2 linked regions of the Danio rerio genome follow. The protein of the gene in region 1 purifies or fractionates together with the protein of each later gene. This does not show direct contact. Links are inferred from orthologs where the notes say so. Each region holds a gene or a part of one and is shown on either strand. Other genes may lie near its edges. The genes, in order: med16 and cdk8.

Region 1 (4,608 bases):
CCATGTCGCCTCAAGTCATTATTTGTGATTTTGAATCAGAATTTAAGCTTTACTTTCCCAGGGATGGGTTGCGGCTGGAAGGGCATCCGCTGCGTAAAACATATGCTGAATGAGTTGGCGGTTCATTCCGCTGTGGCAAACACCATATTAATAAAGGGACTAAGCTGAAAAGAAAATGAATGAATGAGTTGCTTTACTGAAAAATGATAAGCTGTTAGCTGTAAATATTGCCATGTTTTCATTTGATGTGCGTATTATGGAAATAATAATAAGCAAAACAATCTAAATTTGAATTGTGTTAATTTGAATTAGACAATTGTAATTTAATAAATCTGAATTTTTATATGCCGTTAAAAATTGTTTTGAATTTCTTAGTTTGAATTTTCTAACTTGAATATTGAAATGTAAGACAACTGAATTTTTCAAGGCGGAATTTTTTATAGACATATTCTCAAACGTTTGATTTTTTGTGTTAAAATATTACAGTAGGCTATTTTTTGACTGAAATGCATTGAAATCAAAATGTCCAATGGGTGGCGCTAAATCTCTCTTTGTCACTGAATTGTTCATTCACATTCGTTATTTAGACCATATATATATATATATATATATATATATATATATATATATATATATATATATATATATATATATATATATATAGATATATATATATATATATATATATATATATATATATATATATATATATATATATATATATATATATATATATATATATATATATTTCCAGCCCTGAATTTCACAATCTGAATTTCTGGTTTTGAATTTTATGATATTGATTTGGATGTTCTAAATTTCTTCATCTTGAAAATTTGAAACTGTATTTTCACAAACTTAATATCTACAGTCTATGAACTCAGAACACAAACAAATCAGGCTTGAAAAGTTCTTGCATTTCAGATGTTCAATACTCAAGTTATGAAATTCAAATTCAAATGAAGAAAATCAAATTTAAAAGATTTTTAATGTCATAAAAAAATCTGATTTTTAAAATTAAAATTGTTAATAATTCAAATGAATACAATTCAAATTGTGATTGTTTTGGCACATTATTAGCTCTGTACGTCAAACCCTTTCTGAGACACACACACACACACACACACGCACGCACGCACGCACGCACGCACGCACACACACACACACACACATACACACACACACACACACAGAGAGAGAGACTTAAAAGGTTAACTTAAACATATAAATTAAATTATAAAAATGTATAAACAAAAATAAAACGTTTATATAAAAAAAGAGAAAAATAATATATAAATAGCGTACATACATACATACATACATACATACATAGATACATACATACATACATACATACATACATACATACATACATACATACATACATACATACATACATACATACATACATAAAAGCATAGGAACAAAAAAGCCTTTTGTTAATAAATAATGCATAACCATGCATGAGTAAACATTTTTGTTAACGCTTTTATGCTTCAAAAGTAACGTAGATAGACAAATACAGAAATAGATCGGAGCTCCAGCCCAATAGGGGGTGGTAAGTATTAGATGAGTCTTTGAATCCGGAAAGAGTCGACGAATACAGGCGCTCAATGATGTGATGTGCAGCTTCAAAGTGCTATTTGCTGAATTAGAATAGATTTGAAACGCCAGAACAATTTATATTATTAACAAATTAATTTATGTTCGGACTTATTAGCAGGAGCATGTAGTTTTGAGTCTGCCATACCCATCATTTTCTTCTGTTTCTGTACAGTAGCGGTGTTTGCTTTTGTTGTCTCCCGTAGTGATTGTGAACACATTCAAAGGTGTTCATTTGGGGCATCTGTGCTGTAAACAGTAAGTTTCCTTCATTATATGATGGATATCGCATATGTTTGCGAGTGGGAGAAGAGACCCAAGAGCAACCACTGTCCTTCAATCCCTCTGGTGTGCGCCTGGTCATGTAGAAACCTCATCGCTTTCACCACTGACCTGAAGAATGAGGAGGATGACAAAGGTCTGGACAATGCCTTTATTACCAATATTACCACTCCTGTTGGTGAGTTATGAATGGAGGACAAGAAACAACATACATTTTCAATTCGTTTTGGATCCAAAATACATAGAACAATGGTGTTTATTTATGATCAAGCATTATATCAGCAACAACAATCATGTTTTTTTTTTCTGTTGCAGATCTCAGTCATATGATACACATCATTGACACTGATCACCCCTGGGATGTGTACTCCATCAATTCTGGTCACAATGAGATAATTTCCTGCCTAGAATGGGATCAGTCTGGTCAGTCATCATGATGATAAAGATGAAATGGGCTAAACATTTGGCAATATGTGCAGATCATATTTGACAAGTTTTTTTTAGAAGTAAAGTTTCCATTTATTTTAGGTGGGTAGTCTCAGTATTGTAAGGGTAAGCCTAATTTTACTCGATTAATGTACTGCGATGGTCTTAAATCAGTACAGATTAGATACAGAATAATAAAATCTAATATAATATTTATTTTTATTATAGATTTTTTGTAATAATATAATTATTTTATAATTGACATTTGAATCATTTTAGAGTGTTAAAAACATTTGAAGAGAGACGCGTTTCAATGTAAAACCTAAATACTTTTCCAAATCAGGGTTTTTACCATTATCAAATACTAAAACTATTTAAAAAATCTGATAATAAAGAAAAAACTTGTATTAAATGAAAATTACAAATGTTGCTTTAGCAAGTAACAGAACAGAAAAAATATATATAATTTATTAAAATAAAAGTAAATCAAAAAGGCAAATAAAAAAATTATACTTTATATTATAACAAATGAAAACAGTAGTGCAAATAATACAATTGCTAAATTTAATATGAAGCAAAAAAGCCAAATCAAAGTATGAAGAAAAATAATAATAAAAAAGGTATATTCATTTTTATTTAATATTCATAAAACATTTATTAATTAAGTTGTTTATAAAATCAGTTTTAGGGATACTCCTAATAACTGATTAACCCGTTAACTTAAAGCAGGGGTGCCCAAACTCAGTTCTGGAGAGCCGGTGTCCTGCAGATTTTAGTAGGGATGGCTGACGTGAAACTGACGTTTCGACACAGTTTCGAGATCCCGAAGCACAAGTGTTTCGAAACACTGCACCGAAGCATGATCCGAAACACCCAATTCACGTGACTAAAGTGTTTCAAAACACCTGGACACGTGACTAAAATGATTCAAAGCAACAATCAGTTAAGAAGTGTTTCGAGACCTTGCGAATCTGGATGTAACTGCCGGCGTCAGTTTCAAAATCTGTCTCATATGGCCTGGTGGACTGTGCCTGTACACGCTGTTTTTATACTTCCAATGACTTTTGGGTTTGAATCCCGACTTGTACAAATACACCTAAATCATGGTTTTATGTATTTTAATCATGTTTCTGTTTTATGGTGTAGCCTAAATAGATTAAAGCTGAGGATACGCCATCAATATAGCATCATTTTTGTAACACTAAAACAATAATAAATATTTTTACAGTACTGTGATGGTTGGGTTTAGGGTTTGGATAGACGTTAATGAAATACAATAAATGGGAAATTTAATAAATAATATAAATAATTCTTGATACCTTCTGGCCACAACTGTGTCTGATCTAGCAACAACTCTGTTTTAATACCAAAACAAGACATATTTATTTACAAAGTGTTTATTCGGATGTCAGACCAATGTTGAAACAAAACGAAACAAGAACAAAGCATTACCAACTGGTATTAAAGCATTTCAAAAAAGCCGTATCAGCCTGGATTCAAACTCAATATCCCCACATGGAAGTCAGAAACCTTAACCGCTCCACTAAATCTCTTGAATAGATACTTTTACAAAGTGGGGTGTAATACCTCAATTTGCTAAAATGTTCTTGCTGAAGCTGTTTCAGTGCAATACATAAAAATGACCACTAGGTGGTCACCGTAGAGTGGGGTTTCAAAACATTTCGAAGCTTCGACACATTTGCTTCGACTGTTTGTTTCAGTGTTTCATGAAGCCTCGCTTTGCCCACCACTAGATTTTAGCTCCAACTTGCCTCAACACACCTGCATAGATGTTTATAGAAAGCCTTTAAAAAGCTTGATTAGATAGCCCAGGTGTGTCTGATTGGGTTGGAACTAAACTTTGCAGGACACCGGCCCTCCAGGATAGAGTTTGGGCATCCCTGTCTTAAAAGGTGCATTTTAATCTATTATTGGTATCAGTTAAATGATTAAAAATGTATTGTTTTTATTTTATTTAAGTTTGGCTGCATAAATGTGCAACACATATTTGCTTATTCGTGAGACAGTAACATGTGCAACTACATGTGCCCACAGACATATTTTGCCAAAAAAGCAAAATGAAAGAAGGATGATGCTGGTCACAGTTTGACACAGACAAGTCGATGCCAAAGCAGCACTGATGCTGATTGCTAAAAAATGTAGCGGAGCATTAATTAAATGCGGTTGTTATTATGTTTGCATGTTAAAATAAATCAGTATTTTAAAATGCAATATTAAATGTGTCGGACACAAAATAGACACGTCAATTGCTTTGTTTTAAATTAAATAGTAGTTTAA
Region 2 (4,431 bases), on another chromosome or scaffold:
TATGCTGCCTCCTTAATTTATTCTCTTAGGTAAGGACCAAATTTAGAGGGAAAATGTGCTTTATGCAATATAAATCTTGAAGCATCAGAATTGGTTCACTGTAATGGCTGCAAAAATCCTGATAGAAGCATCCCTGGAAGTCAATAATTGATTTGAATTATTTACCCTGATTTGTTTACTGCTCATAAATCTTGTAAATGTTTCCCAAATTAAAATATATTGTGTTCAAAGGGGAAAAAAGTTTTTAGCCAGACATTTAAAAATAATATATTTAGAGCAGTAATCACAATACTTTTAAACTGTGCTATTTTTATACAAGTTTATCATACATCAGAAAAATATACTGACCCATGCCTAGAACGTAGACACTTATAATCAATAGTACGAAAAAAATCTATTGGTTTCCAACATGTTTCAAAATATCTTCTTTTTGTGTGCAACTGAAAAAAAATGTTTCTAACAAGTAAAGGTTGAGTAAACGATGGCAGAATTTTATTTTAGGAACTATCACCTACTTCATTTTAGTGAAACATGACCTTATTTCGAATTCTCTGCATGACAAACACAATGATGCAACATTTTATCTACATAAAACAGGGGTTACCAAACTTTTCAGCCAGCGTCCCCCAAAATAACAAAGCCTGCAACATTGAGGTCAAGTAGGTTTTATATTCGCACATTCTGACTTCTCCTTAATATTATAATTTTACAAAAATATTCTTTGCAAAATCTAAATGGTAATATCATATTAGCAGCCAAAGACTATCAAGAAACAACATTGTTCAAAGTCATATAAATAGTGCTAATGTTGTTTTCAAGTAATAATTGCATGTGATTTCAGACCGAATATTAAAATTTTGATGGTAAACACTATAGGGAGCATGTCACAACAAGTTGACACTTTCCCTCAATGCTCATGATCCCCAGATTCATCGGAGGTGGTTATAAATATACAAACGTTGTACACACAACAATAGGCCTTGTTAAACACGAGCATATTGACAACACAAAAAACTGCAACAGTCTAACAACCATAGGCTATAATTTATATGGTCATTTATGAATGTGTTTAATACTAACCTCACCTAATGAGACCGGTGTTTTTAAGCACAAGTCTGTTCTTGGTTTAATTTTGGAGACCAGCCTGTCAGTAGCCTGTATATATTTTAATGTATTCAATTGCCACAAAATTGTCAGAGTCAGAGATATGTCAAGATCAAGGTGGTGATATGAAATCAATCTGCTGCAGCTGATGCTATTACTGTTGTGTTCATCTAAAATAAACGCACCAATCCAACAAGAAAAAATTAAAAGGCTGATGGCTTTTTATTTGCATGTTGTTGCTTTTTTATGTAACAATAACCTACTATTTTTATCTTCTGTGGGTTATGGTTAATTACGGTAATTCTAATAGAAGGTTTCACCAAGTTAAATTGTAGACTTTAAGACATTTTTAAGACCATTATGAATGAAATTTTCTCTAGCCCTATCAAAAATGATGAAAATTGTATACATTTAAACATACAATAATAATAATTGTGTTTTATTATTTTTGTATTAATTGTCAAATCTATCCATTCACAAACCCTATAACCCTTACCAAGAACAGAACAAAACATAGCTGTCAATTACTTCAGTCTATAGTAATAAATAATAATAGAAATATGTAGGCCAGGTCAGTATCCTCAGCAGTAAATAAATGGAGAACTTTTAATCAAATGTATGTTACTGTAAAGAAAGTAATTAAATGCTATTTTTAAATTAAAAGTTTACGTTTAATTGATGTGGATTGTTGGTGATTGCATTGATGTTAATGGCTAGATCGGTTAACTATACATGAACAAAGAAAATTAAGACCTGTTAAAATAGATTTGAGACCTACAAAACACAACATTTCAGTAGATTTAAGACTGTTTAGGGGCTAAAATTTTGCTTTTGACAATTAAGACTTTGCGGATATCCTGTAAGAGTTTAATAAATTTATTTGACTTTTGGAAATCCGCAAGCGACACCCTGTCATTGTCCGGCGAACCCCACTTTGAGAACCACTGACATAAAACATGCATCAACATCAGAGCCACTAATACCAGGAGTCAATCTGTAGCAGAAATGCTCCATTGAGGCTTCGGGTTTACCGGTGTAAACAAGCCTTCGTAAAAAGTATCTTCGTCTTCATCATCACGAAGAAAAAACCCACAAATCAGCCGCACCTGTTCCCATCACAACAGCACAGCCTCGTCAATCACAACACTTGTGCCTGCTGCTGCTGACGTACATCCACAATCCCTTCAAAATAAGCCTGCGTTTAAACCGTGAACCCTGCATATCAATCTCACATCAGCTGCCGTGTCTCTCTAAAACCCCGAACCAATGGGCAAAAGCGCTCGGTGTGTTTTGGTTGTGTTTCAGAGGTCAAAAACGCGACGGGAGCGCAGGCCTCATATCGCTGCATTTAAGTCCGTCGTGCAAAACTCACCCATCTTTCCTCTTCGCTTTGTACACATGGCCATAAGTCCCCCGTCCAACTTTACATCCTTCGTACTCAAAGAGGTCCTCGACTCGTTCTCTCTCCCCGGTGAGCTTCACTTTGAAGTCATAGTCCATTTTCGGCGTGATTCTGGGGATCCGGGCTGTGGCTTCCCTTTAAAGCGCCGCTGGGGAGGCAACTTACTTCAAGCCCCGTTTAGACAATTAGTTGCCTTCCCTCGCGTCGCTCTGAGCTCGATTAAAGAGTCCTCATTTACCGCGAGCGATCACGGGCGGCTGAAACGACGTGTAGAGCGAGTGTGCTTTTGATCCGACACAAAGTGCAGAGTGTTATTGGACTAACAGTCGCTTTCTTTGATATTTCTGTGCAACTGCGCCGCTCAGCCGGTATCTCACCCGGGAGAGTTGAGCGTCCACGTACGGCAGTGTCGCAAAGCGTCGTGAAACCGTTCCCAAGCCCACAGACGTCGAGGCTTTGTGGCGCACCACGTGGATTTTAACCCTTTGTTTAGGAATGGATTTGTTTTTCAGTTTTATAGCATGTTTTGCATTTTAACCCTCTATGGCATGATTTTTAGTTTTAGGAGGGAAAAATGGTTTACCCTTATTTTTGGGTGCTTGGGGTCCCTTGTAATAAATCAATCATAAAATGTGCCCCCCTACATTTGTTTTGCATGTTCTCCCCATGTTTATGTGGGTTTCCTCCAGGTGCTCCAGCTTCCCCAACAGTCTGAATACATGCACTATAGTTGAATTGAAAAAGCTAAATTGGCCGTAGTATAAGTGTATGAATGCATGAGTATATGGGTTTTTCCCGGTGTTGAGTTGCGGCTGGAAGAGCGTCTGCTATGTAAAACATATGCTGGATAAGTTGTTGGTTCATTCCACTGTGGCGACCCCTGAATAATAAAGGTTCAAATTAATTAATAAAAAAATTATTTAATAAATCTCAACAAGTAATATTTCATCAATATCTAGCCATAAATGGTGTAATGTGTGTTCTTGTGGGGTACTGATTGAATGTACTTATTTACCAATGTTTATTATTCACTGTGGAACCTTAGTGCAGTGGTTGGTGCATGTGAAGCAAAGGGGACATAAGAGTGACAATAAGAGTGTCTTATAGACTATTTGAAAACAGCATAATTAAACAATTAAAAATTTCCCTAAGCTGATTTATCATATAGTAATTATAATGTAAACTGCCTCACCATAATCAATATAACAAATATTGAAAAAAACATATTGCAAGTAACTTTTAAAAATCATGTTTAATTGCAAAGGTAGATATAAACATCATTGCAAATAAAACGCACCCTCAATCAAAAACGTACTGTTTAAAAAATTACATAAAAATGGTAAAATAATGATTAAATTTTTCTGCATTAGGAGTGAAATTATCTTTGTGATCCAAACCATGAATATATGCAGAAAGAACCTAATAATAAGTTTAATAATACTGATATTACTATACTACTACTTACTAATAATTTAAAGAATAATAATAGCTTAATACTAATTTGCAAAAAAGGCTAAAAGGCATTTCCAAACATCAAATCATCAGTTGAGATGAAATTATCTTTGTGATGCAAACCCTAAATATATTTAGAAAGAACCTAATAATAACTTTATTATTACTGATGCTACCACTACTACTAGTAGTAATCTTAATAATAATAGCTAAATACTAATTTGAAAAAAGTCTAAAAGGCATTCCAAACATCAAATCAATGAGTGTGATACAGCTTTAAATTGTATTTTTGTACAGCAGAATGTGTCATGTTTAACTATATTTCTTTTGAGCAAAAACAAAACAATAAAAGCGATGACTATTATTTATACTTAGTCTATCATGATTTACAGAAGACACACACTAAAACGTAACTCGTTGTATAATAGTTTATATACACATACTGTATATTGGCAGGCATATTTACAGCAAAA

The links.
Region 2: the proteins of med16 (region 1) and cdk8 purify together in Homo sapiens (affinity purification with mass spectrometry; 10 studies listed by BioGRID and IntAct, counting the BioPlex papers as one, with this or other methods). This does not show direct contact. The link is inferred for Danio rerio from reciprocal best matches to the Homo sapiens genes MED16 and CDK8.

What each region holds. Positions count from the first base shown.
Region 1 is NC_133186.1:14,600,097-14,604,704, forward strand, and holds the start of med16 (mediator of RNA polymerase II transcription subunit 16), read left to right. Parts: upstream 1-1,596; 5' UTR 1,597-1,878; coding exon 1,879-2,020; coding exon of another isoform or gene 2,021-2,062; intron 2,063-2,199; coding exon 2,200-2,307; intron 2,308-4,608. UniProt on the Homo sapiens protein: Component of the Mediator complex, a coactivator involved in the regulated transcription of nearly all RNA polymerase II-dependent genes.
Region 2 is NC_133199.1:25,393,377-25,397,807, reverse strand, and holds the start of cdk8 (cyclin-dependent kinase 8), read right to left. Parts: upstream 2,930-4,431; 5' UTR 2,605-2,929; coding exon 2,477-2,604; intron 1-2,476.